Linked DNA regions of Lytechinus pictus. The protein of the gene in region 1 binds, or shares a complex with, the protein of each later gene. Links are inferred from orthologs where the notes say so. Each region holds a gene or a part of one and is shown in the gene's direction. Other genes may lie near its edges. The genes, in order: transcription termination factor 2-like, splicing factor C9orf78-like and nuclear inhibitor of protein phosphatase 1-like.

Region 1 (10,986 bases):
CACTGGGTGCATTTACTAATTCATTACTTAGGCTATTCCAAGGTTTCCTCATTCTTATGTAAAAAGAATTCTTACGTTTCTCAGTTACTGACCTCGGAATGTACAATTTCTTATCATGACCTCTGGTAGGCCCATGCACCTGGCCCAAATCTGGCACTACCTCTTGGTCATACCTGTGAAATAACTTGTATGTTTCGATCATATCTCCTCGCGCACGGCGATATGCTAATGTAGGAAGTTTTAGTTGAATCAATCTTTGTTCATATGGAAGGTTCTTTACTTCAGGTACCAACTTAGTGGCCCTTCTTTGTACATTTTCTATTGCTTGAATATGTTTCTTTAAGTATGGACTCCATACTGCATGAGCATACTCCAAGTGAGGTCTAATCAATGCTTTGTATAGGAGTAGGAAGTTCTCCTTGTGAAGATAAACAAATGTTCTCCTAATTAGATTCATTAGCCTATTGGCTTTATTTATCTTTGACTGAAAGTGCTGGTCAAAACTAAGCTTTGTGTCGACAATCACTCCTAAATCTTTACTAGTTTCAACTTGTGATAGATTATGTGAAGCATTATCATGTGTCATAGTATATTCATTGAATTCATCATTCTTTGTACCAATAGTAAGTACACAACATTTATCCGGGTGGAACTTTAATAGCCACTTGTCTGACCATGACACAAGACGATCTAAGTCCGCTTGTAATAACTCAGCATCTCTGTCATTATTAACATGCTTGTATAACTTGGTGTCATCTGCAAATAAATGAACAGTACTTGACGAAATCTGATCCGGTAAATCATTAATGTACATTACAAAAAGCAGGGGTCCGAGGACACTCCCTTGCGGTATTCCGCTGGTTACATCAGCCCAGTCAGAGAACACACCATTCACACAAACTCGGTGCTGTCGACCAACAAGAAAAGACCTGACCCACTTACATATGAGCTTAGATATGCCAAATCCCTCAATTTTGGCTAAAAGTCTCTGGTGTGGGACCTTATCAAAGGCTTTCATGAAATCTAGGTAGATGACATCAACTGCACCACCAACCTCCAACATATTCGTCCAATCATCTAACACATTGAGTAATTGTAACATTGTTGATCGTCCTGATACAAATCCAAATTGTTTTGAACTGAGAAGGTTGGTGCTCCTCACATGCTCATATATTTCATCCCTCAGGATAGACTCCATGATTTTACATACAATACATGTAAGACTTATTGGTCTGTAGTTTGAAGGGAGTTTACGATCACCCTTTTTTAATACGGCACTGACATTGGCCTTTTTCCACACATTTGGTACTACGCCTGATGTAAGAGAGTTCGAGTAAATAATACTCAGAGGTTTTGCAAGAACAGGTGCCAGTTCACGCAAGACACGGGGATGCAACCCATCTGGCCCTGGTGATTTTGATATATTCAAACTCTCTAATTTCTTTAATACACACTCTTCAGTAATAACAATTGTGTCTAGAATATGAACATCATGATGTTTAACAGATGGGAGAGGTCCATCAGGATCTTTAGTAATGACACTAGAAAAATGCTTCAATAGTGCATTTGACTTCCCTACATCTGATTCTGTCAATGTTTTACTACTTCCAGTTCCATCCTGGTAGAGTGGTGGTATTCCACTCTTTACTTTTGTCTTGTATTTTGCATACTGCCAGAATTTTTTAGGATTAGATTTTACTTCTTTGGCAATGTTTGACTCATATCGTTTTTGACAATGTCTTGTCGCAGTTTTCACTTTATTTCTGATTGTGTTATAAGTTTTCTTCTTTTCTACAGTTTTGTCTCTAATATATCTTTCCCAGGCTCTGTGCTTTTTCTTAATCAATTTCAAGGTGTCATAATCAACTGGGAAATCACTTCCTTTGCCCCATGCATGTTTACCACATGTTACTACAGAAGGAATAAATTCATCCTCAGCTTCATCAATTATACTCAAAACATGAGACCACTGCTGATTTACATCATTCAATGCCGATAGTTCTTCTTCCCAATTTATGGAGCTTAGTTTCTCTCTCATACCTCCAAAGTTACCTTTATCATACACAAACCGTTTTTTCTCATTTGAACTACAATCTGCATAACAAAGTAGGTCAAAAACCAAGACAGAATGATCACTGAGTCCTAAAGGACTACAATGTTCAAGATTGGCTAGCATGCCTTCTTCACTAGTAAAGATCAAATCGAGGACATTAGGTCTAGAATTGAATCTAAACCTTGTAGGATCAGAGACATGTTGAAACAGGAAGGCATCCCTTACACATTCAATAAATTTAAATTCTTCACTTGCTTCACTCTTTGAAGTTGTCCAAGAGTCCCAATCAATCTCTGGGTAATTAAAATCACCCAGTACAAGTAAATGGCTATAATTCAAATCTGAAACATGTGAGATCAATTGACGGAGATTCTCATTATTTCTACTAGCAGCACTATCACTCCTGTAAATACAACCGATTAACAGCTTATCAGAATGCTTCAAACACAGTTCGAGCCAAACTGCTTCCTCAAAATGAATACTCTCAAAACTCACTTGATTTACATTCAATGACTTATGAACATACAATACGATACCTCTACCAACAGCCTTGTCAATGTTTGTGTGATAAAATGTAAAACCTTCCAATATAAAGTCTTCATTGCTCAAATCTCTGAAATGTTTTGGTTTTGCCTCAGTGATCGCTATGATATGTGGTTTCTCTTTCTTCACGAGAGCTTTTAGTTCACACATTTTGTTGCGCAATGAATCTGCATTGGTGTAAACACATTTTAAGCTAGAACTAAAATTAGAAACTGGTGATGTATTTGAACTTTTCTTACTATTCACTTGTTTACGTAGTAAATTTGTTCTATCTAACCTAGGACTATTTACATTAAGACTATGTACATTATTTACAGTTGGAGGCCTCTGTACTGGGCCACTACTGCTGGACGCTTGGTCCGGATTCCCTGACTCCATTCGGTCGAAAGGCAGGGGTAGCCTGCACGATCTTCCCATGGCTTATCTTTAGGTTTTGCTCTCCAGCCTCTTTTCTCTGCTTGAGCTCTTCGCGGAGTTTTCTATTCTCAACGCGCTGCTGGTAGGTTAGGTCAGGAGTAACATACACATTGCTAATAACTCCATTCGGATTTCCACGCAGCTTGGAAGCCTGAGATAGCACATTCTTCTTGGCACTCTTATCAGCAAACGACATTCTCAGAAGTCGAGATTTACCGGCCACTTTCTTGCCAAGACGGATTGGCTTCTGTACCACAACTGCATCTGGGACGTTGAGCTGGTTGAGGATCATTTTGGTTTGGTCAAAATCATGTGCAACACGATCCTTAACCTCATCAGAATCCAACTCAGGGACATTATGAAGTATTACATTACATTCCCTCTCTGCCTGATCCTTACTCTCTTCCATGTACTTCTTAACCTTCTCCTCCACAAGTGCCTCAATGTTTTCAACCTTTGTAGAAGATTTCTCCAACATCATGACATGAGAAGTAAGAGCATCGATCTTCTTCACCAATTCTCCAATAATACTTTGCATTGCTTCAACAGAGGGATCCATTTCACTTACATGATCTCTTTTGGCGGACACACTGACCTTTGAATGGCAATCACAACAAAACCACATGAGGTTTGGAGACCCGCGGTTCATAAGACGATATTCCGGGGGGAAGGAGGGGGATCAATCTCCACCCAGTGACCACTCCGGGGGGGGGGGGGGGGCACTTACATTGACGAGTGGATACCATGGCACGACCAAAAAACACTAGAAATAAAGGATGTCTTTTTCTAGACCAAAAGTCCAAACAAAACAAAGCTTCAGTCAGTCTGTATTTTGGTTGTTCCGCTGAACTGCGTTGCCGTTGGCTCCACTCACCAATACATAGACTGAAGAGTTGTTGGCCCGTAAGTACAGACAACGTCAAAGTATTAGCAGTAACGTTAGATCTAACATTCGGCGGAAATCTGATTTTCGGATCGGTTTTTTGTACATAAAATGTCACATTATAAAAAAGAAATTACATCAAATTTACGTTAAAAAATATATAAAATTCAGAAATATTGTACCTTAGACCGCAGTTACCGCTAATTCCTTTCAAACGATGATCAAAACATAGTCATCTTCGATCTTTTCGTTGGTCAACGTAAGTTGCCATCTTGGATGATGTCATCATCCTTACAGCGAGACATGTTTACCAGTCGCTAGTCTATATATCGCGATTTGTGCCGCTGCTTCGCGCTTGTAGATGTGTGTGTGTTCGGAACTTGTCGCTCGCATTGATTGGCCAGGATATCTAAAATTTTATATCGGAAAGCCTTGATAAAAGCACAACTCGTTGAACGTAGAGGGCAGCAACACACGGTGCCGTTTTTTCCTTTCCGGCAGAAAAATTAAAAATATAAGGAATAAATCATTGGTAAGGTATATTTCAGAGTCTAACGAAAAAAGTGGGCCTTCGTTCAAGAAAATATGATGTCATTTAAAAAAAAAAAAAAAATCTAGACAAAACCCGGTCACCCGAATTGGTGGACCTGATTACACATGCAGGCTCGCACTAACACACTACCGTCGGTGAATGGGGATGATAGTAAAATGTCAGAAATTGTTAAATAAATCCCCAGAAACAACAGTTATTCCTGTCTAGTTCTTTTTCAAGATAGGGCACGTTACGTACGTAACGTAAGAAGGGTGTCAAAAACACTAAAATAATGAAAAAAGGGTATGTTTTTCGCTAGGAAAGCTACGTGTTTAGGGTCAAATTTGTAAGGGTAAAAAGACAAAAATATTACATAAAGGATGTACTTTTTGCCCCAACAGTCAACACTACGTGTTTAGAGTCCGAGGTGTGGGAGGTGGGGCCGTAATAAGCCCAATTATGTAGGTACAGGTAAAACTAACATCCATGACATTAAAATATCACTGTACTTGTTTAGGGGTTCAATTCAGGGAATTCTTGCCAAGGGTATCGTTTTGTTTCCAATACTTGTTAAGAGTAGGGTTTCACACAACAATACTTGTTAAGGGGTGCATTTTCAGAATATGGAAAATACTTGTTTAGGGTGCTTTTCGGGACCCCATGGTTGCCCATGGTATCCACTCGTCAATGGAAGTGGTCCCCCCCCCCCCCGGGACTACTCACACATATTGCTGCGAGGTTAGTATACTATACCAACCTCGCACTACAAACGTTTCTACGCAGTGGATATTTTAGTAGTCGATTAACATCGCTTCATAATGGGATGATGTTAGCCGAAACTCATTCCGCTACTCACCAGCGCTTTTTCTGGTGAGGAGCATTCCATTTTCAATTTTATATTATTTTTTTAAATAAAAAGCACATAAAAAAGAGCAAAATCACTTACCTCGGCCGGGAAAGTGGCTTCGCATGTCTCTTCCACGGAAATAAAAAGGAAGGTTGTTGGTGGCGGTAATACAATTCACAACCTTAATTCAGCTTGTCAGTATTTTATATCTAGAAAAAGTCTAGATTCATTGTATGTGAAAATTCCCATGATTGTTTGATAAAATATAGACACCAATCAATGCAATAACTTAAAAAATGTACTTTTTAGATTATTTTTGCTGACGATAATACTTTTTGGATAACATTCAAAGCGATGACAAATTAAAAAAAAAGAAGAAAATTCTATGTGCCTTGAACGAAGCCAGCAGTGCTACCATTCATTTGTCAACGAACATTCCACCAAAGTCTTTACATTAAAATGATTGGACACTTTGCCGACTTCGCGTAACGCTTTTCATCAATTTACGTGTAAAATAGTTTTTGTGCCTAGTCTTTTCTATGTAGTGTCTTTGATATGAAGATAAATCGCACGCCCTCTTTAGCTAATTAGACGAAAAATTTCGGAAATAAGACAGATCCATATTTTATCAACAAGAAGAGAAATCAGCGCTTAAATGACACTATTTGAGGGATATTCATGATATTAGGGGGAATTGATTTCACATCGTTCGGTAAGTTTCGTAGAAGGACTTGATTTTATTAAAGTTTGTCTGATCTTCATGCAAGGGCCATGGAAGTGTTGCAATTTTGCATGAGCCGTGCCTTCAAATTTCCTGTAGTCGGCAGCATGTAATGCACCATCTCCACCATCATCAATTTCCTTTTTTGCTTTGGACAGACTGAATACTGACACTATTACTGATTCAATGATTGATTCTCATTTTTCATGGCAGAGCATACTGGTCATGCTGGTACTAAGAATTATCACATGTATCACATCAGTCATGACATCAGGATATGGATAAATAAGATTTCTCTTGTAGTCTGTAGATATCCGGTCTTAACGTCATGACTGATTGCTAATGGTTAATTTTAACTTGAATGTGCATCTGTAATAAGCGGTATTTAAATCTCTCATTCCACCAAAATTTGTCAAGCAAGTTTTTAAAACTTTGCAATGACTTTGCCTCTACAATTTCTTGAGGTAGATTGTTCCAATCTCATACAACTCATTGAGTAAAAAAAATTGCTCCTCTGAAAAATGTTTACTGCAGAATTCCAAGTCAACCTGTTAGAACCTTGAAGACTGCAGTCAGTCATATATCATGGATTAATGGGTTGCATTTACAAGATTATGAGCAATATTAATGTTAAGAGAGTAAATTATGGGACTAAGTCTATTTTCCAGTGGAACTGCTCATGTTTTGGTGTTTTAATGATCATGCTCGTAGGCTGCAACAATGTAAAGCCATGATATGAATTTTTAAGCTATATCTTTAATTTTAGGAGAATTATGCTTCCTTAAAACCGGTGTCAGTGAAGGATCAAGAAAGGGGAAGAGTTTTTACATCTGTGGATCCTCATCTGAACAGAAGTGCAATTTTGTGCAGGAAACAAGGTAGGTATATATATATGCCCTATTACATGTACAATTTGAAGTAAAATATTGCCAAAGTACATTTGAAATATCATATAATTGGGCATATAGTATAAAAACACATTAATACATACGTACATTATTGAAATTCCAAATAACATGATATACAACTGTATAGGATATATCTCTTTCATGAATGAGTATGTACAGGTAATTGAAAATGATTGAATGTATTTTTTTAATCTTATCTTTACCATTAACATTTTTTAAGTGCATCAAAATATTTATAGGTATTCATTTTTTCATCCATCCCTCTAAAGCCTTCTAATAGCAGTCTTAAACAGGGACTGCATTATTCATAGACCTAGTGGTGTCATTTAATTTCTAAATAATATAATAAGGGTTCTAGTATACATGTAGATCCACAACTCTGATCTCTCCTTTCTATGTCCTTATTTCTTCCACTTATTTTTTATGTAATTTTAAATTCAGTCCCCCTCCCCTCCTTATAATGCCTCCCCTGGTCTTCAAGAGGTGATAAACTGCTTGTGAAACTGATGAACCTAACTTGAATTATTCTATTGCAATGAAAACACTATTTATTTTCAAACTCCAGTCTGCCACCATCATTTTGCCTCAAACATACTGACGTACTAGTCGAACTGCAAGGATATGGATCCAAAGCCAATGGAGAGATGAGGTAAGCTCTTATTTTTTTTTTAAAGTCATCTCTTATTTTATTTAGCTCTTAGGTTAAAGAGGAAGTCCGCCTTTTGATACTCAAAGTGGGGTTTGATAGAATAGAGAGACAATCAGAGAGAGAGAGAAAGAGAGAGAGATTTCAATGAAAATATTATGTAATCCATAAAGAGGATGACACAGTGATATTGCAACATATTTTATATTTTGTGAAGACACTTTCTAGTGAATCTGATTTCAAGCCAAATGTATATTTGTTGAACTTGCCTGATTTTGTTTTTAAGATGCTTTTCTACATTGTTTGTCTCATTAGGCAGTACTATCGATGTACAAAATCCATGCATGAGGGCAAAGGATGGTGTGGCTATGTGGTGGTAAGCATAATTAGATAAGATTTGGTTGACAGAGTATTGGAACTGTCTAAGAAATAGCTTTAGTAAAAAAAAACAATGCCCACTGTCTTCTAATTACTTCGCAGGATTTCAAAGTGTTTTTTGTGATCCCCGTTTGTTTTGTTTATACTGAATTGGGAAATAGACAGGGAAATAATAATGCAGGTTTTTAGGTCCCCAAGTTTTATTTTCTTTTTTTTTCTTCTTGTTTGTGTGGTTGTTAATTATAGCATTATTCCACTTTTTTGTTGTTATTATATATTTGGCAATGAATATATGACAAAGTACAAGACTGTTGGCAATAATTGAAAAGGTGATTTTTTATCTGATCACCATAATAGATTATGGCATAATTAAGCAAGCCGAACTGAAAACTAGTAGAAACTAAGCAATCCAAAAGAAGTGATTGAAATTGTTAACACAAATAGGCAAGCATTGGAGTATATATAAGACCAATCCATCAAGAAAATGCCTTGCTTATTTTGCTTATTAATGAGTAGTCATTCACTTTCTACCGGAACCATTTGACACATTCAAACACGAGTAGTCATTTCATTGGAACCTGTTAGTATTTCTTACGTGGTGGTGACCACAAATGGAATTATCTTTAAATGTGATGTTTTCACCCAGGTCCGTCAAGCCAACCGCAGGCCACTTGGTGATGTGAATGGGATGTCCTCTCTATCTTCTGACAGCCTCAAGCATTCTAGTGAGAGCGGTGTTGTGGAGAAACCAGACTCATTAGTGAAGTCTACCAGACAGCCATCATCAGGGAGAGATGAAACTCGGACAGGCCAGAACAACGGTGCTGAGTCAAAGAATATTAAGCATTCCAGTAAACAGAGAGACATGGATGATATCACCAAACAGATGCATGCTGCAAAGATTGGGAGTAGAGAGTATGACTCCAGGAGGCAGCCACCATCTAAAGATGGGATTGATAGAGAAACGGGAAGAAACAGGAGTGGGGACGGAGCCAAGAGATCAGATTTGGAAAGAGGTGGTAATGAACCGAGGAGGACTAGCTCAGACTCAGATAGAGATGTTTTCTCAAGAGGGAAGACTTATGGAGGAGATACGAAACAAGATCAGATGGAGCAGAAACTTGGTCATGGAGGCAGTGGTGCATCAGATCAAAGTTCTTTGAAGAGTGCATCTCACAGAAGTAGGAGTGAAGGGGATAGTCAAGACAGACGACCTGGTTCTGAAATTAATCCTGTAGAGAAATTGTCTCAGGGGGATGATAGGAGGTATCATGAGAATTTGCAAGCGCGAGGAGAGAGGTCCTCAGAGGTGGCTGCCAAGGAGAAAGATCAACTTCGGCAGTCTGCAAACAAGGAGCAAGCACAAGGTCCTAGTCAATCACACAAGGATGGCAACCACAAGATGAGATCTCAATCAGCCACTTCCAATGATGCGAGACCGAAGATTGTTACTGTAAAATCCGATCTGGAAGCAGTTGCTGCAGAGAAGACGCAACCACAAAAGCAGTATCATCAAGCTGCAAGCAAAGACAGCAAACAGGGTAGCCAACAAGCAGTAACAAAGGACAAGTTGGCCTCAAGATTTGACAAGGTGCGGCAAAATGACAGTATGAATATGTCATGGAGGAACAGCAGCGCCCTCAATGACAATATCAGCAGTGATGAAGAAGAAGTAAGCAAGGATGACACTGATGATGATGACTGTATCATCCTGGAAGACACACCTAAGGTGATATCCAAAGATTGCACTGAGAATAAATCAGCTGCTGGTGCCACGAAAGCTCAGAGTAAAGAGGACGATCGCCGTTCTCCAGTGGATCCTAGTCTTGGATTGAGAGAGAGACTTATGCGCAAAATGAAGATTGATGCTCCAGGCAGTAAGTTGCACATTACTTTTGTTATCATTAAACCATCTAAATGATTGTATAGTTTAGAATTTGCTATTTATACATTACAACAAATTCATTTTCTATAATTCCAGTAGAGATTGCTGGACAAGTGCTTTTCCAGGACAAGCCAGTGATATATCAAGCATATTGCAAGCAATATTTTATGAATTAATTGAAAGTTATTTTAGACATTGCAACACAGTAACACACCTTCAATTTTTGTGTGCTATTTGATGATTTTTGTGAAAATGCAGAGCGAGCAAAAAGTGATGTTTTTTTTTCTCATCCCGTCAAGTGTCTGAACAAAGGATACCCATCTTAACATGTTATTTTTCATGAATGCCCAACCTGTTATGTTTTTTTTATACTTTGTTTTGTTTTGTGTTTATGAATTTAGATGAAAAGCTGATTACAAATTCATGGTTAATCAAGTTAAAATGTATCAATACCAATATTGTTGTTCATAACAAGGAGGTATGCTTTCACTAGTTTAGAATTTGCTATTTATACATTACAACAAATTCATTTTCTATAATTCCAGTAGAGATTGCTGGACAAGTAGTAGATGAAAAGCTGATTACAAATTCATGGTTTCACTAGTTTCATTTTCTATAATTCCAGTAGAGATTGCTGGACAAGTAGTAGATGAAAAGCTGATTACAAATTCATGCTTTCACTAGTTTAGAATTTGCTATTTATACATTACAACAAATTCATTTTCTATAATTCCAGTAGAGATTGCTGGACAAGTAGTAGATGAAAAGCTGATTACAAATTCATGGTTAATCAAGTTAAAATGTATCAATACCAATATTGTTGTTCATAACAAGGAGGTATGCTTTCACTTCAACTTGTCTGTTCCCCACAGATGGTGACAAAGGAGCACAACCTAATGAAAAGAACAACGAGACAAAACCAAATACTTCTACAAGTGCTCCATCCTCCACTCTTCCAAAGCATCAACAAGAAAAGACTGGTGCCCCTCTTCCAGCTCCTCACAACCAAACAGTGCATGTTGTGCCTCAGGTATCCTCAGTGAGAAGTGACTCAAACCAGTCTGGGATATCATCTGCAGCAGCATATCCAAAAGCTTTGCTTGCTCAGAGGCAAGCCTATGAGAGACAGTTGCAGCGACAGAAGGTCATTAATGTTTTAGATATCTTGTTCTT
Region 2 (11,418 bases), on another chromosome or scaffold:
GTACAAGCAGTATTAACGAACGTCACGGTATACCAAAGTCTATACAATGAAAAGATTGGACACTTGACGGACTTCGCGTAATGCCTTGCGTCGATTTGCGTGTAAAATAGTGTAGGTTCCTAATCTTTCCCTTGTCGTGTCTTTGATATGAATATAAATCGCGCGCCCTCTTTAGGCAAAAATTGATATCTACGCTGACCAAATTTTATCCCCGTGAAATCTTCACTAAAGATCAAGAAAATATACATATTTTTAAGAAAAAACTTCAAGGAGAAGTCACGGAAGGATCTAAATGATTCGGTAAGTGTCATAGCAGAATGTGAAATACCAGATTATTGGTGATATTTTATGTGGGCAAAAGCCCACTATCTTTTTGACTTGTCGTGTGTGTCGCGTGCATATGACTGATATTCCTTCGCACGCGAGATGATATGAACCCATGGGTGGATTTGGACTGATTCGAAGCTTAGATGTTAAAGTTTCTGGGGATTTCCTTAACAATTTCTGACATTTCACTATCATTCCCATTCATCGCCCAATTCGGGCACTCATTCAATGAACAAGGTTATGATATAACCTTTCTCAGTTACATCTCCATGTGTGGCAAAATAAGGGTGGCAATGTTTGGCTTATTTTCTCTTTTTCTTTGGGACAAATGCTTGATTTTTTTTACACTGACAGTTTCCATTACACCTATAGATCATACTACTTGGCTCTTCAGTAAATTTGAGTCTTTAAATTATTTTTTTCTTAATTTAAGATAGAGATTGAAATATGAAAATTTTCTTGCCATACATACTTTCCACCAATAGAGGGCGTACACAAAAATATGCCCAAATTCAAATTTTTGAGCGCTCTGGTGAATACAAAAATTATTCCCAAGTTACTAATTGAAAAATAAATTGCAACTGTAAGGAAATTAGTAATTTTGGTCACAAAAGTGATATTTTAATGATTTTTTAAAGTGTGTGCTCTGTACAGCATTGGCATACCATAGTCCTACCTGTAGATTCCCCACAGGCAGGATGATTGCAGTGGACAAGTGAATTCGGGTACTGTCTTCGGGTCTTAATAATGATAACTAAGTAAACGTTAGACTTTGATAGTCTAACACTTAGTAACAGTTAGATTCTAGACTTCAATATATTTAAAAAAATATAATTTACAGTCTAAGGATTTAGAAACACCTAAATAGTGTCTTGAATAACTAAAGAATCAAGACATGAAAAAAGAGATTAAAAGGTGTGGAAATGGTACGTTACCGATATTTACTTGTCTTGGTCTCAAGAATCACCCCCCAAAATAGCAGCCAAAATATGAAATAATTACCAACGAATGGAGAGGGCATCAATAATTTACGAATGCGATATCGATATTGCTTTTGATATTATATGATCTGCGCCATATGCAAACCGCCAACAAGCAAAACCGCTACGATCACAGGTAGCAGACGACATTCGATATATCGAGACATTAAGAAGTTAATAAGGATAATGACGTCATTCAAGATGGCAACTTGCAAGAAAAACCGTCAGCTGAAAATGTCTTAGACAAAAGATTTCTCAATTATCCAGAGGATTTTTTTCAATTACTTAAGTTATTTATATTTCCCTGACAATGGAAACCATGAAACTGTAAATTTCGCTTGAAAACAGTTTTAGATCGCGACCTATAAAACGTTAGTTCAGTATACCACTGTCTATATGTACGGGCCAACAACTCTTCAGTCTATGTATTGGTGAGTGGAGCCAACGTAGTTCAGCAGAACAACCAAAATACAGAGACTGAAGCTTTTGGTCTAGCCTCGGTCATGTCCACTCACACTTAGCCAGGAGGCTCCTAGAGAGAGTAAAAATCATTCAATAACGTGTGTATAGTAACCTAACTATATGGATTATGGCCTAGCTGGATTACCGAGAATTATTCTCTCCTTAATCCTGGGTCAGTCCGTCTTACAGAGAACAAGGTTGAAGACTCAGATATAACTGTCTACGTTAGACTCAGTGACTGGTAGCAGAACTTGGAGTAACTTGGTATCTTGGAATCGTCGTATGAACCTGGCTGTGTATGCATGATGAGCGGTTGCGAGAGAAGTGAACTGTAGAAGCGGTGAACGTGTGAATGGCGTCTCGTTGCGGGTCGATCCTGTACATATGGAGGGTATCTGGGGGCATGGTCGCACGCACGGTCACGCGTAGCTCGAGAGTAAAAGGTGTAATTGTCGCACTTCGCGCGGGCGACCAAGTTCCCCATATTCCCCCCAACCGTAAAAATAAAGGGGAGATTAATTATTGACTTCCTACTGCCCTAATCACCCATGTATATACAGATATATGTATGGGGAATGGAAAAAAAAGGTAACATTAAACCGTTACGTATAGCGCCATCCCTTTTAGAAATAACTTATTATAATGATATTAAGGAATAAAACACTTGTCCCAGATCCTTGAAAAGAACCAATTATTTCCCAGTATCTCGGAAATATAACGTAAACATATACTGAGGAATTTAGGTTTCTTTTCCTATCCTCATGGGCACTGAGCATGCTCTGAAAACTTTTAACATATACATATATATGTATATATGTCTTCATGTTACAAGCTACTAAGCATGTAGTTCATGCAGTGATCAGGATATGCCTATCTATTTTAAAGGACTATTTACACATACAAAAAAATATGGTTGGCCCCAAATCTCTATCAAACTTTGGAGGGTGATAAATGAATAATAGGCCTTGATTGGCCAGCAGACTTTAAAACTAAATTGAAGACCATATCGCCTGGATATTATTAAAGGAAATTTATAAATTCATCTGTGACGTCATTTGGCACGATGGATGAAATAACTAAAATATCACCTGGATATATAACTTAATGTGTGACACAACTTGGCACAATATTGTCTTTAAAAAAAACCATACCCATATCCTCTGGATATATTGAAAGAAATTTATAAATTCACCTGTGACATATTTTGGCACAATGGTTAAAATAACTGAAATATCGCCTGAATATATAACTTTACGTGCGACACAATTTGGCACAATATTTCAAAAACTAACTAAACCAATGTCCCTTGGATTTTATTGAATATAAGAGTCCGCAACCTTTACCAATCCCTGAAGACTAAGGAGGGTCTGAAAGATGACAGCCAACAGACACTTTCCACTTGGGGATGTAAAATCTGGTCTAGTTCGGCCCGGTAAGTTGGGAAAACTTCTCAGTCCGTCTCCACCACGATACAGAATATAAACGTTCTCCGGTGAGAGAAAATACTGCATTGCAGAAGAGAAGTACCTAAGACCCCTCAATTATATGGATAGGCTGTGACCTTATCTTTTAATTAACCTCCAAAGTAGGGAGGGCAAGATTTTGGACAGAAAAAAAATTATGAGACAGGGGCCACCAAAAAAAAAATAATAATACACCCTATTACCCTAACAGGCCATACAGTTGCTTAGCGTTGTAGGTGGTTTGGGCCATTATAGTGGCCAAGGGCTGTCCCCGCAGGTTGGCTACCACCGCCCCCACATCACCCAGGCTTTCAGGTGAAGTCACTGTCATGTCCGGGCGAGGAGGGAGATGCGGAGCATCGGTCTCCAGAATCAGCCGATTCGTGGGAACGACCCTAAGGCCTTGGATTTGATCCGTTGTGAAATAGCTGCCATCCCAGCAATACCAAAATAACAATATGGAAAGGCAGCCGTCCATTTTCTAGCTTGCAGCGAGTCGCTAGAGAAATTGTGGAGGTGTATCCTCTGGAGGGGGTAGCAGTGCTTTTCAAGAAGCCGGCGGGCCAAAGTATGCGCCGTGTATGCCATATTATTCTTAGAATCGCCCCTTACATGTAAGTGCAGGATGAGTACTCTCCCTTGGGTGCCCTGACCAAGGAGTCTCAAAAAGAACGCCTCCTGGTCAGGCCACCACTGGGAGCTGACAGAAAATTCAAAACCTAATTCACTTACACCTACCTACACCTACCATCGGATTATAAAGAGACGGACCGTATTATAAAAAGACAAAGTCAAAAGTTAACTTCAAGTCCTAAAATAAAATTAACAAAACAATTGTCCAAAATACGAGCGTCTACCAATCTACGTGACAAGAATCAATGAGTATTTTCACTAAATCAAAAGACAAGTTAGGCCAATATAATATAATTGGGCAAGTCCCCAGACTTATGTTCAAGCTTCAAAAAATATTTTAAGTATTCACCAACTGACTAAGTAATTACTTAATATATATACCATCCACTAAAATTTATAGATTAATGCCACTCTAAATATAAGCATTGGTGGCTCGAAACGGCATATAAAATATATTGATCACTCCTTATTTTTATCTTTTTTTTTTTTTTAAATGATATCTTAATACCGAAATAAAATCAAGTTGACTATTAAATAAAGTCCAAAAGAGAAACCCGACGAATTAAACACGTATGAGGGTAACTCCGTTTTAGCCAGCTAGCACTAAGATAATTCCATTAAAAAGCCACAGTATAATTCATATTTCACGCAACCTATAAAACGGCGATAATAAAATCCTTTCTATCCGCAAAGCGGCAATCTAAATGGCGCCAAATAAATCCGTAAAACGGCAACCTTACTGGCGCCAAAAATGATTACTGCCGGACGGAAAAATCAGTATAATAAATTGTCAAAATTCGCTTTCACTCGTGACATATAGAATCATAATTCAACTACTCAACATACAAAGATTCTACGTCGTCTACTACAGCTAAAGGGGGGAAAGTCAGGTTAAGCAATACGATCCTTCACCAATCACGCAATCATTAAATCACCATCAGCCAAATTCAACAATACATATATATCTCAGTTACGTACAATTCCTAAATTTAATTATCCTACGTCAAAAATTTAAATCCTAATTTAATTAAATCCTAACAGGGAAAGGGGGTAAATACAAATTCATCACCCGAACCACACCCCAAGCAACTCTCAGGCAAGGCATACACTCAGCCCTAACAAACAAAAGAATGCGGGGAGCGGCGAACAATAGAAAACGTTTACAGCTATTTGCATAAATGGCGTGCCCTACGTGGCGTTCATCCTGCCACACCCAAAATTTAAACTGGATTAAGGGGATAGTGTAAGGGTTTAAAACCTACGCAAAACGCTGAAAATAAGCCCTAAAACACTGGTATTATTTGTTTAAGATAACTGTAATAAAGATATATATCGCTAGGACGGCGGATTGAATCCAAATACACTGTATAAACAATTTGTATAGAATGCGAATTACTTTACCGCCCTACGCTACACTTTTTTCCCTACTTTTAAGTACTTAAAATGATGTTTAGCCAATTAACTTTTCTACGCCGCTTGCTTTACTGCATTTAAAAAACATTTAAAAAACTAGCGCAGAGTCGTGTTTAGACGCAGCGCCAATATATAGTAGCCTAACTATATGGATTATGGCCTAGCTGGATTACCGAGAATTATACTCACCTTAATCCTGGGTCAGTCCGTCTTACAGAGAACAAGGTTGAAGACTCAGATATAACTGTCTACGTTAGACTCAGTGACTGGTAGCTGAACTTGGAGTAACTTGGTATCTTGGAATCGTCGTATGAACCAGTCCTGGCTGTGTATGCGTGATGAGCGGTTGCGAGAGAAGTGAACTGTAGAAGCGGTGAACGTGTGAATGGCGTCTCGTTGCGGGTTGATCCTGTACGTATGGAGGGTTTCTGGGGGGCATGGTTGCACGCACGGTCGCGCGTAGCTCGAGAGTAAAAGGTGTAATTGTCGCACTTCGCGCGGGCGACCAAGTTCCCCATAGTGTGCTTACCCTCCACGGAGCCAGGGATTGCGTCCTATTCTTGTGCGTGTACCGCGAAAAAAACTGAAATTTTGGCCCCTGAGATTTCTACTTTGGAAATGTTTTATTAGCAGTGACAAATATTATTTTCTTAAGATAAAAAATAGAAGAAAAAACCTTCGTGCCTTGAACAAAACCAGCTTTACAAGGTCTGTTGGTTTGTAAACAAACAGAGTCAATTAAAGACTCTACAATAGGAAGTCCGTACAGTTCACCAACTTTGCTTTCCTTTCCATCGATTTGCATGTAAACTAGTTTGAGTGCCTAGTCTTTTCCTTGTAGATCTAGTGTCTTTAATATGAATATAAATCTCTCGCCCTCTATTGGCGGAAATGTCTTTCACCCATGAATCATACATGTACATTTCTTGATCGTCTTTTTGTAAATGTTATAGTGTGAGCATTCCAGGGCTCTCTCTAATACAAGAAAACCCGAGCAGTGTAAAACTACCTCTCAGACATAAAAGATAAGTCGTAGCATATATCTTTATGCCGATAAACATCTGCATATATGATTGTGGTACTCATCACATTGTTTGGATTCTGGTAATCCAGGGAGCTTCAAGTTCCTTGTGAGCGGTCAAGAAGCAGCTAGGGTAACTCTCTTGTCTTGAGTTAAGTTGGCATATATATTCAGACTTGCTGTACTCCGCCAACTTTGTTGAAAATGTGGGGATCATCGAACAATCGGGTTATTTACTTACTAGGCTTTTGGATGAGCTTTGTTTTGAAGGAGTCCAGAGACTTTAATTAATTTGAGATAGGGGTAACTGATGGTGAAACTTTCATAAATTGAAACAACAAGAACAAAAAAAAAATGTTTCCAACTATATTGATTGTTTACTCTATCATTTTGTCTTGAAGTACCCACCCATCAATCTGTTACTCAAGTAAAGTGCCATGATAATAACCAGCTTGAAATAATATTCTTTGCACTATCGCAGGTCTATCTTGGAAGAAACAAAAGAAGCTCAGAAGTTCAGAGAGAGACCCCATGGTGTTAGGTTTGTATTGAAATTATATTACAACTATAAATAAAAAATAACTACATTTATTTCTTATTTATGAAAAACACTGATCTTAATGAATTCTCTTTGTAACATTGTCCAACAAATTTCTTCCATGATTAATGATGTTGTTCAATAAGCCTGGGACAAATACCCTTTTGCCAATAGATTGTTGGCCGGGTAAATAATCAAATAGTTTGAACAATTGAGATTCCTGGATAATTGGAAATCAGCCAAAAGTTGGCCTTTTTGACTGACCTACAGTACCAGTGGTCACGCATAATTAAATGTTAAAAGTAGTATTCAGTTGCCGATTGGTGATCAAATACATTTGATTGTGTAAGTTTTACTCCCTGGCCTATTGTACACTTAATTTGTTTCCCCTTCAAGATGATGAACTGGTCCATACATAAGTATAATGTTGAAAATATTCATGTTGAATATATCCATTGTAATAAATTTTTGTAATCTAATGGTGAAATTGTCGTCTTTGATTGTACCTCCAGTGCAACAGCCCTTCTCACAGGCAAGAAAATGACAAAAGTCGAAGAAATGAATGATGTAAGTATTAGTTGAATCTTTGTGATACCATTTAAAGTTTTTCCCGTAGGCATAGCCGTCATGTGTGGCATGCTGACTTCACCGGGGTATGCCTCTATTATACACCGGTATGCTCTCAATGGTGTTGACATAGTTAGGTTTCATTGAACATAATCTATACCTTCAATTGCCCCAATTTTATCCCCTAACTTTCATTGTGCACCATTTTAGCACCTGTCAAATGCTATATCCATGCATTAAATCACTTCCCTTTACTCGTCTAAAAAATTGAATTCTTTAAAGAAATATGTTTTGATGCGCAGCAAAATGCATGCTTTGTTTATTTTTCATTAAAGGTAATGCTCTATTTCTCTTACTATTGCTGGTTTAGATGCTGATGTAGCCAATCTGTGCACATACCCTTTGGCCTCAGTAGCTCTCTCAATAATCTTGGAATTTATGTGGTTTCTTTTTTTTCATTTGTTATTGGTTAGCTTTCAAATGAGCAATGTTACATATAAAGAGCTGCATTGCATTATTCCATATATGTATCTTACATGTATGCGCCATGAAAAATCTGCAGAGTAGATTTGGCGCTTTTAAGTCACATCATCATCATCATTGTTATCAGTGTTTTTGTAATTTTTTATTTTTAATACTATCATTTCATTTATCTGATGTAATCTTTTTTTAAATTTTTTGTTTGTTTTAACTGCAGGATGACCCGTTCAATCTGAAGGCAGGTGGGATGTTGAACATGAAGGATATCAAGGACAGAAACAGAGACAGGTTTGTATATATAGGCATCCATCACTTCATGGTAAAATACCACTTGGTCTTTGAACCCATTCCACATGGTCTAATCTTAGTTTGTCAGCAACCAGGTTATCTGCGTGCCATTTGGTCTATTTGCAATTTAGCTCGTGTACCATTTTGTTCAATTTCCAGTCAGACTCCCGGGGGGGGGGGGGGCACTCAGTATATAAAGCATGGTGGGTATGTGCCGCGGAGGGGACCCCCATTTCTACACTCAAATTTCTGTTTCAAGGCATAGCATTTTTGTCTTATTGAGAAAAAGAACAAAGTTAGACGCTCCGAAGCATTTTCTTATCGAGAAAAAAGAAGAAAGAAATCCGCTCCAAAGCTTTGCATATTTTCCATTACGCCGTTCCAGCCGCATTGATCTGCTACAATGAGCCGCAATTTTGGTGAAAAGCGGCCGCAGAGCGCTTTCCGACTTTCGCCTCTGCGCTGGTGCACCCGGCGCCCGTGCCGCCTGGCTAGCTGCATACACGTATGCATACGCACTCCCACGCAGGCGACCCGTTCCAAGGACCCCCATTTTCACAAACATTGGTAGTTCTGAAGCCCGTTCCAAGGACCCTCCTTTTTACAATAAGCCCGCTCCCAAGCCCCCGTTTTTTGTCTCGCCCGCGGCACATACCTACTACTTTTTTGGTCGAGTACCCCCCCCCCCTCCCCCGGGGTCAGACTGTCCCCCATTTTGTATAAATCATATCCACTTTGTTTATCACTATATCTCGACATTAGCAGTGGCCCAGGGCAGCCAAAAATGAGAGTCCGGCCACAAAAAAATTCTGTAAAAGCCCACACTTGGTGGCTTGGTTTAGGCTACCAAAGTTTTAATAATAATATTTTTAGGGCCACCAAATTTGCGTTGCGGGCCACCAATGATATGAAATTGATGATTTTGGTGGACCCATTGGGCCACCAAGAAAAAAGTTAGTGTGGAGCCTTGACTATATGAACAAATGAACTTTTTGTGATTTATTGTTAATCAAATGTTTCATTTATTAAAGTGCAACTAATAAGTAGACAAAGTGAAAGATCACCCGGGCATTAGACTTAATGATAAAACAATTGATGTTTGGGCCAAATGATAGTTGGACTATGTATGAGTAGACCAACTGGGTATGGTTCCACTTGCCATTTTTTTTTTTTCTGTGATTGTACTTAAAACTTTTTTTTGTCAGCTTTAAAGGCCAAGTCCACCTCAGAAAAATGTTGATTTGAATCAATAGAGAAAAATCAGACAAGCACAATGCTGAAAATTTCATCAAAATCGGATGTAAAATAAGAAAGTTATGACATTTCAAAGTTTCGCTTATTTTTAACAAAATAGTTATATGAACGAGCCAGTTACATCCAAATGAGAGAGTCGATGATGTCACTCACTCACTATTTCTTTTGTTTTTTATTGTTTGTATTATACAATATTTCAATTTTTACGAATTTGATGATTAGGACCTCCTTGCCTGAAGCACAAAATGTTAAAATAATGGAATTCCACGTCTTCAGGGAGGAATGAAACTTCATTTCACATGACAATGACGAGAAAATCTAAATATTTCATATTTCATATAATAAAATACAAAAGAAATAGTGAGTGAGTGATGTCATCAGTTCCCTCATTTGCATACCGACCGAGATGTGCATATAACTGTTTTGTGAAATGAAGCGAAACTTTAAAATGTCATAACTTTCTTATTTTACATCCGATTTTGATGAAATTTTCAGTGTTGTGCTTGTTTAATTTTTCTCTTTTTATTCAAATCAAGTTTTTGTTGGGGTGGACTTGTCCTTTAAAATACTGGAATGACTTGCCAACTTATAAGAGACTGTCTCCATCAATAGAAATGTTCAGAAAGGTATTAGAAACCCATCTCTTTTGTTATTTGTAATTTTATCATTATATAATTCTTTTTAATTATTTCATTGCAAGTGTTTTGGGCCTTGATATGGGAAAAATGCAGTATAAGTAATAAGTAATGATAGAGTAATCTGTGGTGTCACATTACCCTATCTAGTCAAATAGAGAAATATAATTCTACATAGCATATACATGTAGGGGTTAAAAAAGGCACATGCTCCACAATATTTTTTCGATATCTCCAGAAAACAACAGGGGTTTGAAGTAAATTCTCAAGATATCGATGAAAAATTCCCTTTCCATTGGAAACTTGGTGCATTGTGAATTTTGGGGGTGCCATGCACTGTGTAATGACGATTTGGGGCAGTTTTGTAGTGGTAAAAACTCTTAATGTGTATGAAGTTTTGATTTTTTTTATTATTGTGAGGTATGCTCTGTTTCAAAGTACTAGACACATCAGACAGCATCAAAGTCCATGGTATTCCAATATGATTTGGATATACTGTGTAGCCTTAGCATGTACAGTTTCAGCTATTCCATGAATCTGAAATGTGTTATAAAACCCTCTTCCAGGTCTGATGAAGCTTATGATCGTGATGTTGCTAACATGGGAAGCACTTTTGCTGTTGAGACAAACCAGAGAGATGAAGACGCTGAAATGTAAGAACATGATATGGAGAAATAAAAAAAATTAAAACTTGATTTCATTCAATTCCATGTTACTCCTTTTCTCTGCAATCTATTCCACTCCATTACATTCTATTCAAATGAATTTTATTCCACTCTTTTCATTTTATTCTTTTCAATATTAGTCTACTTTGTACTATTCTTTCCTCCTCTTCATTCTTCTCCATTCCATTTTAATGCATTACAGTTAATGTTAAATGTATATTTTGATTGGCAAACTATTACAAGAACTGGCGGATTCTGAATTGACCAATTGTAGGCTTGTAGCTTCATTCCAATCCATTCTGTCATTCCATTTCAAATACTACATTCCATTTCATTTGATGCTGATTTACGTCATTCTGTTTTGAAGTTTACTGAAACAAGTGCCATGAGCGTCTCTGGAGGTGTTTGCGCTAAATAATACATCACCATTATTATCATTATTAAGTCATTTCGGATTATGACTTCATGGGCATCTGGATTCATTCTTTGCAACCATGCCTTCTGACTATTCAAGCATAAATGCATACCACATAAAATTGATATCGTAGTTTTGGAAGAAAGTAGTAACATTTTCAGGAAATACATATATAAGTTTTGTGCGCATTACATTGTGTTTTCATTAAATTTGTGATTTTCTAAGGTGTAAATTTTTTCAGACCTACCCGGCATATTCATGAAACTAATGATGTTGT
Region 3 (10,596 bases), on another chromosome or scaffold:
GAAACTAAAACAAAGAAGTAGAAGACGAAGAAGAAGAGATATTTATACACAGATGTTATGAACCCCCTTGTGTAATTATAATATTGTGTATTAATTTGAGCTAAGAAAAACTGAACTTTTTAAAAGCCCAAACTACAGATTAATATAATTAATATTCTTTGTGCAAAGCCGATAATAAATTAGTGACCATGAAGGCCATATTGATATTCATTGGAAGTGATTTCGAATTCAGATTTATTCGTTCTATAGCAATAATAAGAAGAGGAATAAACGTAATACGAAATTTAAATCAGACTGAATAGATTTCAATGACATAGAAAATGCACCGGTATATGTAGGTCAACCAAGCTTCACTCTACCTTGTACATATATTTCGTTGACTCATTTCCTACACAGCGAAATTTTTAATAAATAATTATGATATTTTTTTGTAGTGACGTAATTTAGAACACACCCCCTAATCCATTGTGACATGAGAGGCAGTTTATTTTCAACCAATAGGAGCCTGTTGTAATGAATATTCTCGTCAAGGACGTGAACAGTTTGGTTGCATATACGCCCCTAATTTTGCTGATAAATAGACGAGTCGTCGATCCTGGAAGACTTGTGGTTGAACCAGGAACCATTCTGATAACCCGTATCAGGACAATTACCCCCCGGACAACTACCCCCTGAGGACAACTATCCCCCGAGGACAATTACCCCCCGGACAACTACCCCCGGACAACTACCCCCCGGACAACTACCCCCCGGGCAATTACCCCCAGACAATTACCCCCCAGACAACTACCCTCCGGACAATTACCCCCCAGACAACTACCCCCTGGACAATTACCCCCGGACAACTACCCCCCGGACAATTACCCCCACCGGACAATTACCCCCCCGGACAATTACCCCCCCCCCCGGACAACTACCCCCCGGACAATTATCCCCGGTCAATTACCCCCCGGACAACTACCCCCGGACAATTACCCCCCCCCCCCGGACAATTACCCCCCGGACAACTACCCCCGAGGACAATTACCCCTCCTCTCCGGCATCGGTGTTAGAATTCCTTTTCTCTTTTAAATTTCCCTCTCTCCCTTTCTCTCTCTCTCTCTTTCTCTCTCATTTTTTTTCTTTTTCCTTATTTTTTTACTTCAGAGCTTGCGCCTCCAAACCTCCCATTTAGTTACGCACATATACATCAAATAATATTTAAAGCGTCCCTCATACTACCTTTTATTTTCAAGTTTTCATAGAACAATTGAACATTCATGAAATGACTGCTTGGACTTAGCCATGAAGACTTTACATATTTCAACAATCAAATAATGCAAGCGTGAAGCGCGAGCTGAAAATTTTTGACATTTCTACGTAAAGAATGGAAAAATTTAATCAATTTTTGTAATCGTGAACAAGATAGCTATATAACTAAGCAGTAAATAAAGAGGCTTTAATAGCAGGAAATCATAATTTATAAATAAATTTTCGGCATTACTCCTATGTGTTTAAGATCGCATGCTCGATCTTTAATGAAAATCATAACAGAAGAGGATTGAGGGTATTTGAATTCTAGTTCATCGTGATAGCCGTGAACAAGAATAGCCTGGTGGTTAAGTCGCTGCCCGGAAAGCAGTAGATGCAGGTTCGAATCCCACTGGTTCCAATTTTTTCTGACTTATGATGTTCATTGAAGATCGAGCATGCGATCTTAAACACATAGGAGTGATGCCGAAAATTTGTTTACATATATAACTAAACAATTAATTATTTGATGCGAGCGCGAAGCGCGAGCGTAAAAAAAATCGAGATTTAGACCTTAAAACGGGACTCTCAATTCACGTTTTGTAAATCATGAAAAGAATGAGTAATATGGGATTTTTTTTTTCTTTTGAAAATAATTTTATTGGTAACATAATCACATGAAATAGTTACATAAAATGTAAACAATGTCATACAAAGCATGAAATATTTTCTTCAACAATACTGTTTTCAAAAATACACAAATTTTTCCTTTTACAACGCTTCTCTATTTCTATACGATTACAAATCAACCTTTTGAATAAACACAGTATACCAAACTCATGAAATCGACAACTCCGACTTACTGTTCGAATAAAAATTGAATAAATAGCATACCTTGCATACATAATAAGAAGATTCAAAATTCTATACTCTTTATTTTTTAACTCATATCCTTTTATCAAAGTAGCAACATTAAAATCAAAATTAATGCCTACAACTTTATACACAATGGTACTAAATTTTGTCTTTTTTCTTACACGTTACAAATAAATGTACGCTGTCTTGTATTTCATTGTCATGTGAACATAAAGGATTATCCCTTAACTTCCATTTATACATATTATATTTATGAGGTAAAAGATTATGTAATAACTTATAATTAAACTCTGCTATTCTATTTTCTTTGACAGTTTGTAAATTAAATAACCATACAGATTTCCAATCAATTTCTTCTTGTAAAATATTTTCCCATCTTTCTTCAGCTTTAGGCTTAATACTTATGTTATTTGAAATAATGGTGTAAAATAACTTTGAACCTCTTTTCCTAATTACATTCGTCAAAATATTCTGTAGAATGTTTTCATTTTTAGGTTGAAGAATCTCAAAAAATAACTCAAACCGGTTCATTTTCCAAACTTTCGGTATGGCATTCATTACAATGTTATACTCCTGAAAAAGACTTGCATACTTTTTTTTCAAATAAAACTTCTATTTCCTTTAATGATTTGAGTTTGGAATCTGAAATAATGTCCTTTACCTTTAGAATTCCAATATCGAACCATCTTTTAAAAAACAATACATTTCCATTGCGATCTTTTATATTCGAATTAAACCACAAACTTTCCTTCTCGATCTGGACATTTTGAAAACCTGATTTATTTTGAACGGTTTGCTTAAAATTCAACCAGGCGTAAATTATTGCCTTATGATAATATGGCATTTTTATTTTATCTATATTTTATCTACATATACTTTAATTTCTTTTTCTGTACAGTTACTATGTAATACAAAATCTAATCCTCCAAATTGAGAAAGATAACTATCAATGGTTGTACTAAATTTCGATTCTTTGTTATTATAATGATACAAAATCCATTTCAATAAAAAGCTTTGGAGTAACATATTCAAATCAACCATTTTGAGTCCATCTAGATCATATTGCATACAAACAACCTTTCTCTTTACTTTATCTATCTTTCCATTCCAAAGAAAAGAAAACAATAGGGAGGTTAAAAGCTTTACAACTTTCTCTGGCATTATAATCATTTGAGCGTTATACAACATTTGAGAGATGAGAAATGTTTTAATTACAAGTATTTTTCCTGTTAAAGTTAGGTGACATGCATTCCATGATTTAATCAAACGTTCTACTTTCAATATTTATATGAGATCTTCGTACATTAATAATGCGAGCACAAAGCACGAGCAGAAAATTTTTGATATTGTGGTCTGAAACTGGATAATGATTTAAATTAAGAAAACAAGTTGAGTATCTGTATAAACATATGCGCGCGTGTTTCGACCTAGCTAGAATCTAGGCATTCTAAATAATCTTTTATCATGAAAATCAAAGTGAGCGTAAAGCGAGCGCGAGCTTAAACTATTTGATATTCCGATTTGAAAAAAAGAGTTTTGACATAGGACCGGGACATCCTTAGGACATGTGAATGACTGTCTTCCTATTCCTCTTGCTAAGCGCAAGATGAAACATAAGGGCAATTTAATTCTTAAATTAATATCTATGCCTATTCAATATTGAGGGCGCGAAATCTGATGATATTATGGCCTGAAAACTTGACATTTCAAGCACTTTTTTAATTATAAATAGGACGCATCAGTTAATGTATTTAAACCATTAAAGCGAGCGCAAATTGCGAGCTTAATTTTTTTATACACTGTCATGAAAAGGGGATTTAAAGTATAGTTTGTTGTATAATTAATATTGAGACATTATATAACTCACCAATCAAAATGCGAGTGTGCAGCGATAGCTGATACGTTTTTACAATCAGACCTGATAAGGGATATTTTGAAAATTTTATGGAATACACGAAAATAAAAGATACCTGATAAATCAAAATTTGCGAGCGCTCAGCGCGAGCACAAAATTTTAATATTCAGACCATAAAACTGACATTTTTACAGAGCACTTTTTAAAAATGAATTTGTAAATCCAACAAAATAATGAAAGTTCGATTTCCGAGATGAAATATGTTATGTATATTGACTTCAATACTTATTTCAAGCTACATATCAGCATATTGAGCAAGCTATGTATCTCACCCGGGGGGGCCACTTCCATTCACGAGTGGATACCATGCGCGACCATGGGGTCTCGAAAAGCACCCTAAACACGTAATTTCCATATTCTGAAAATGCACCCCTTAACAAGTATTGGCGTGTGAAACCCTACCCCTTAACAAGTATTGGAAACAAAACGATACTCTTTGCAAATATTCCCTGAAATGAACCCCTAAACAAGTACAGGAATGTTTTATTGTTACGGGTCCTTCGGTCGTCGGCTTTACCTTATTTGGTTAAGTACGACCCCACCTTCTACACCTCACGCAAATTGGACTCTAAACACGAAGTGTTGGGGCAAAAAGGACATCCTTTATAAAACATTTTAATTTTGTTTTATCATCCCCGCAAATTCGACCCTAAACACGTAATTGTCCTAGCGAAATAGATACCCTTTTTTCATTATTTTTGTGTTTTTGACACCCTTATCACGTTACGTACGTAACGTGCCCTATCGTGAAAAAGACATCCTTTTTACGTGTTTTTTTGGTCGCGCATGGTATCCACTCGTCAATGTAAGTGCCCCCCCCCCCCGGGGTATCTCATCGAACAGGCTATTCCCCTGACCTTATTTTATTCACTCGTCTCCCTCCTATTTTCTTCTTCTTTTTTCCTCCGTTCTTTCCCCTTCTTTTTTTCTCTTTCTTTCCCTTTTTTTTCATTTTCAAGGGGGGGAGGGCATCGGGCCCGGCCCGGCTTGATCCGCCAATGTATCACGGTCACCTTGACTTATCATATTTGAAACCTACATACCACGCATACCACATCATGCACACACGATAAGATAAATGATTATAGCTCTAGAACTACTCAAATATGCTCCTCAGAATAGATTATATGAGGTTGATTGTTATCATCCAGCGCACATTTTAAAAATAAATGTGGATTTCTAAACGGGACATCCAATCTTTGTTCTGATCAATATTTGTAACACATGTCGGACAAAAAATCATGAAAATTGTCATTTTGGTCAAAACATGGCAAGAATGACCACTTCTATTGTGATTTGGCAAATTGGCAAATGAAACCACTTTATTTGGAATCTGGGTGCATTTTTACTTAGGATGGACCTTAATTGGATGTGGTTACAAAAGCATTTTGTTATAAGGGACCATTTTCCAAAGAGTGGTCAAAATTGTCATTTTTGTTCAAAAATTGGCCAAAATTGCTCAAATGTCGTGAGTACGGTCAATAAGACTGACTATTTTGGAATCAGCACACAATTTTACCCCGGATAAGCCTGTCAAACCTTCCCCACCAAAAATTCTGAATAAAGCCCCCTTTAATTCTCCCGATCCTACATGTGGTGTGTGCCGCGCCCTGAACCTAAATGTGTGTGTGTGTGTGTGTGTGTATTTGAGTTTTGTCAGACGTGTATCAATCAGATATGATTATTTACGTCTGGGACCGACCTTTAACGTCACCATCCGAAAGACGTGACCTGGGGAGCGTTTCATGAAAGGACTTGTCGGACGTTTTATCCGACAAGTCCTGTTTTATCCGACAGTTACCATAGTAACAGTGCCTCACAGCCAATCAAAATCAAGGAAAGATGTCAGATCTGACAACTTGCCGGACAAAAATCTTGATGAAACGCTCCCCAGGGCTCGAACCTCTGCATCAATTTGTAACTTCCCCACAGCTTGGATTACAGGCGCACGCCACAACGCCCTAAACTTCCTAAACGTATCTTGACCGTAGATGGCAGCAATCCTTAGCTCGTCAACATGGCGAATTTCGAGGTACCGTCATGGTAAGATTTGTTTATTTATTTACTCAGTTTTTGGTAAAAAACAGATCTATTTATCATTTTCTCAGTGATATGGTCCGTGTGAAAATTGATCCGTAGATTTTTTTTTAAGATCTAAATGAAAAACAGTATGGGAGCAGCTGATTTTCAACCCTGTTTCTCGCTCGCTCAGGCTGCCTTCGCTTCGGGCGGGGCGCAGCCCGGCCCCGGCTCGGGAGCTCGCAGCGGACAAGGGGAGACTCCAACATTGGCATGGTGGCGTGGGCCGGGGATTGGGCGTGGGGCCTTATCCTGAAATAAGTCATCTCTCTTCTCGTGTGTGTCAGTGTGTTTGAGCTCGTTGTGTTATGAGTACAAAGTCAATGGGAGATAGATGAAGAAGTCACTGACGAAATGAACGATCGCGATGTCGCTGTCCAGTGAATGTAGTGGTGACTTAAACCAGGCAGGATATTTAGATAATAAGGAGCTTTCGATTGTCTGCGACTGCAACGTAGTCCTAGTTCACCGGAAGTGGTGACACCGCTCGTTCAGTATCACGTTCGTACATTGATGAAAACAGTTTCGATTTAAGTCGACGTACCCGTACCAGGCCACAGCATATACCAGCGTGATAGCGAGCGGGCCGTGGGCCGATGCTCGGCTGGAGAATCAGGCGTAGCATCACGCTACGAACCAGTGCCAGTGGGCGTGTGGGTGCAACATTTGCACTCTTGCGCAAAAAGCCGAAAAAAACACAGTTGTTTGGGAATAGAACAACAATTACCTATCGGATTAACCCAGAGAGCTCCCGCCCGCTGCGCGGGCGGGAGCCCAGAAGCTTACCGTGTATTTGACCATATTCACTGGACTAGGGTGATTTATGGTCTAAATATTTCTCCAAATGAATTGTGAAAACAGAAAGTATACAATTACCACAATTATATGGATGAAGGTCTAACGAGTGGCAGTTTCCTGACATCTGGGCACAGACTGGGACCTCAAAAAAACGAAAAGTTCTCTCCTCTACCCCAGTCTCGATCGGCCATTTTGTTACGATTTTTAACAAAAATGGCCGATCGGAACGGGGGTAGAAGGAGAGAACTTTTCGTTTTTTTGAGGTTCCAATCTGTGCCCAGATGTCAGGAAACTGCCACTCGTTAGACCTTCATCCATATATCGTGGTAATTGTATACTTTCTGTTTTCACAATTCATTTGGAGAAATATTTAGACCATAAATCACCCTAGTCCGGTAAATATGGTCAAATACACGGTAAGCTTCTGGGCTCCCGCCCGCTGCGCGGGCGGGAGCTCTCTGGGTTACTATCGGATATGTAGTGTCTGAAAACAGGACACACTAATGGAAAAGCTGGTAACAAGCAGTAATTTGCAGTTTACCAGCCCTGCTGAATCAACGAAACTCGAATGTTGATGCGGCTTCATTCATTTTTGCTAAGCTTGGATGACGTCATCATGTACGAACTAGCGCTCGTTCGAGCACTATGAGTATGATACCGAACGTCAAAACCCTCAAATACGAGTCACAGATTTGAGCAGTGAACGAGAAGGCTCGTCACAGATTACTTCGCGCATGCGCAGCGCTCCTAAAATTCCTTAATCTCGTACGTCCACATGGCTCCTCACAGAAAACGAAAGGTCTCCAATGCCGGGCTTGGCGGCGCAGGAGGCTCCGTCCTAAGCCTGCCCTTGGCTTAGGCTAACGTTCGACAGTGAAAATCATTTACTAATGTATCAATATTGTATGCTTACTCTCCACGGAGCCACGGACGGATGCCATTGCTCTTTGCACACCAAGTATTTTTCTTTGGCAACAAGTTGCTGCAAAATACCGGTACTTGTTTTCATAAGACTTTACTGTCTTTAAAGTTTAGTTTGTGAGCCCAAACTATATGACATAGACTAGACATTGTTCATGAAAGCAAGATTTATTTTACGTTGATCGTGTTAATTTTCTGGTTTGATTAAAGCACAGTACTGCGCATGCATGATTGATAAGCGATGACTTTCATTCATGAATTCATCGTGCATAAATCATCTCGGCACGAGCAGACGAGTAAGACTCGAACAATGATCGAAATCATTGAAATAAACTTCAAATTAATGGTGAATATGCATCATAATTGCACAATCGGTTTCATTTTCGGGGGAATATAAATCAAGTAAGTAGTAGTCAAGTTGGACATTACTGATATTTTGATGATTGATTGTGTGAACCAAACAAATCTTTTTTTTTTCGATGCACAGATTTGGCAAAATCTGCACCGGCGCTCGATGACATGGATCGAACACCGATTTTAAAATCGATTCGACTCAGGCTTAAAAATAAACTTGAAAGGACAAAAACAGTGACTTTCTTCAGCTGTCGCACAACTCCCACTTCCCTGGTTTATCGGAACTTAATACATAAACATATAGCCATTGAGTCCCTGTACAGATCGAGTTAGAACTTCGGTCTCTGTAATTGGTGAGTGGAGCCGACGGAGTTCAGCGGAACAATTAATTTAACAGAGAAAGAAGCTTTTGGTCTAGACATACACTAGAGCTAGATCTAAATCAATTCAAACTGTCTAGAATCTATATGTTTATTGTTCTTTTTTACTCGACTTTTCCAATGAAATTAGGCTCGGTAATTAACCTAGCTGTATATTCCATCAACTTCTCTTTTCCCTTAATTTTAGACAGTACTTAGGCTATCCACTATTCAATTAACTTTGTTCTTACTCCTCTTTTCCAACGAAATTACACATGGTAATTAATCTATATTCCAACAACCCCTCTTTTCCCTTCATTTCAAAACCGCTGCCACTTTTAGACGGTTAGCTATCCATCCATCCACTACAATTTTAACAAGCTTATCTTCCTTTTTTACTCCAGCGCGTGTTATCGCGTTGCCAAAACACATAGACGGAGCCAAAAAGAATGATAAACTTAAGATTCTAGGTTTTATCCTCCTTTTTGGCTCCGTCAATGGGTTTTGGCAACACAACACGTGCTTGAGTAAAAAAGGAAGATGGATAAATGATATGTTGAAAATTAATGTGTGTGAATGTGTGTGATATATCATCTAGGATGATCCATTATGATTGGGGGGAGTGTGATGATGTGAGAGTTATTGTGCAATATCATGTCAACCCAGATATTGTCCCATGTGTGAGAGAGCGAGCTGAATGTCTCGCATCATCTATTGAAAATCAACGAGGCGCAGTAGTGCTTATTGAAATTCAGGTACTTTATATTTCATGACATTATCGTGAAATTGGGAACTGCCGTTTATTTCATACCACAGTGCTCTATTCAGTGACACACATGGTTCCCTATAAGTGCGCATACGTACAAATCAACGAGTGGTTCCCAAAACTATGATTTGGCCGATATCTTCATAAACCAAGACAAATCATGTCTTGATTGATCTAAATTGGGATTGTCCTTGTTTAACGTTATGCCTATTTTTTTTCACTTATAATCTACCACTGTGGGATACTAGACTAGACAATGATAGACACCAATTTATGGGAATTGAGAGTGCTAAAAATAGATTCATTGACCTCAATTCCTCCCAGTTCACCATCTATTTTTCACGACTTGCTGTCTTCCAATAATCTGACCTTATTATGAAACCTGATATGTTTGCATTGACTCGATCGATCGATATGGGCACTCAGACATGCAGGGACAGATGAATGAACTTTCCTAACATTATTGTATTTCTTGTGTGGAAAAATTATTTTTGTACACTCAGCTGAAACACAACCACACGTAGAGGGCAGATATTTTGTTTGCAGTTTTGGATTGGGCTTTGTTGAGCAGTGGGGGACCGGGAAGGGTTTATTGAAATCATACTGACACTTGATCCTAGATAGGAGGTACATTGTAAATGTAAAATATGAACATTTCATTCAGATTTGCCATCATCAATACCACAAAAACCTGACAGTTTGCAAAACATGCATATGTACATGTATGGTACATTTACTAACAGGTTATGAGACTTTTATTAATCCCACACCCTACTATTGAATTCATATTTTTTGTGTATAAATCCAAACCCAAAAATAAGGCTTCAAAATTTTAAAGTGTCTGGACACCCATCCTACATATTTTTCGAAAGGGGGGGTACATTTTCCCAAGGAAAAATTTGACAAGCAAAAAAAAAAGTCTTCACTTACAAAAGGGGGGGGGGCACATTTCTGTTTCAACGGTATTTTTACTTTACAAATTTTAATTGTGCCTCTCAAAAAGGGGGGGCACGGGCCGGCTGTGCCCCCCCCCCCCCCCCCTCCCCCGGATACGCCAGTGTCCTACACTATCCATGACAATGAACAGAAAATAGACTTAACATGAGAAAGGACTGTCAGAAGTATGTGCATGTTTGCTAACCTGAAGAAAACAAAGATCATACTGCCTATACATGTGTAGATAAAAATTAAATTTTCCCAACTATGTTCTGGCTTGGTTTAAGGATTATGGCTTTGAAACTGCAGTGAGAAATTTATTAATACATGTAGAGGGTCTATGTCTATTTTTCTGTTCCTTT

The links.
Region 2: transcription termination factor 2-like (region 1) and splicing factor C9orf78-like share a complex: the UniProt entries of both Homo sapiens proteins name them as parts of the spliceosome. The link is inferred for Lytechinus pictus from reciprocal best matches to the Homo sapiens genes TTF2 and C9orf78.
Region 3: transcription termination factor 2-like (region 1) and nuclear inhibitor of protein phosphatase 1-like share a complex: the UniProt entries of both Homo sapiens proteins name them as parts of the spliceosome. The link is inferred for Lytechinus pictus from reciprocal best matches to the Homo sapiens genes TTF2 and PPP1R8.

Annotation. Positions count from the first base shown.
Region 1 is NC_087256.1:8,334,526-8,345,511, reverse strand, and holds the start of transcription termination factor 2-like, read left to right. Parts: upstream 1-6,766; 5' UTR 6,767-6,874; intron 6,875-7,469; 5' UTR 7,470-7,548; coding exon 7,549-7,553; intron 7,554-7,865; coding exon 7,866-7,926; intron 7,927-8,574; coding exon 8,575-9,805; intron 9,806-10,685; coding exon 10,686-10,957; intron 10,958-10,986. UniProt on the Homo sapiens protein: DsDNA-dependent ATPase which acts as a transcription termination factor by coupling ATP hydrolysis with removal of RNA polymerase II from the DNA template. May contribute to mitotic transcription repression. May also be involved in pre-mRNA splicing.
Region 2 is NC_087259.1:27,476,562-27,487,979, forward strand, and holds the start of splicing factor C9orf78-like, read left to right. Parts: upstream 1-6,779; 5' UTR 6,780-6,840; intron 6,841-7,349; 5' UTR 7,350-7,377; coding exon 7,378-7,404; intron 7,405-8,101; coding exon 8,102-8,172; intron 8,173-10,627; coding exon 10,628-10,714; intron 10,715-11,418. UniProt on the Homo sapiens protein: Plays a role in pre-mRNA splicing by promoting usage of the upstream 3'-splice site at alternative NAGNAG splice sites; these are sites featuring alternative acceptor motifs separated by only a few nucleotides. May also modulate exon inclusion events.
Region 3 is NC_087261.1:1,176,556-1,187,151, reverse strand, and holds the start of nuclear inhibitor of protein phosphatase 1-like, read left to right. Parts: upstream 1-5,733; 5' UTR 5,734-6,038; coding exon 6,039-6,064; intron 6,065-10,596. UniProt on the Homo sapiens protein: Inhibitor subunit of the major nuclear protein phosphatase-1 (PP-1). It has RNA-binding activity but does not cleave RNA and may target PP-1 to RNA-associated substrates. May also be involved in pre-mRNA splicing.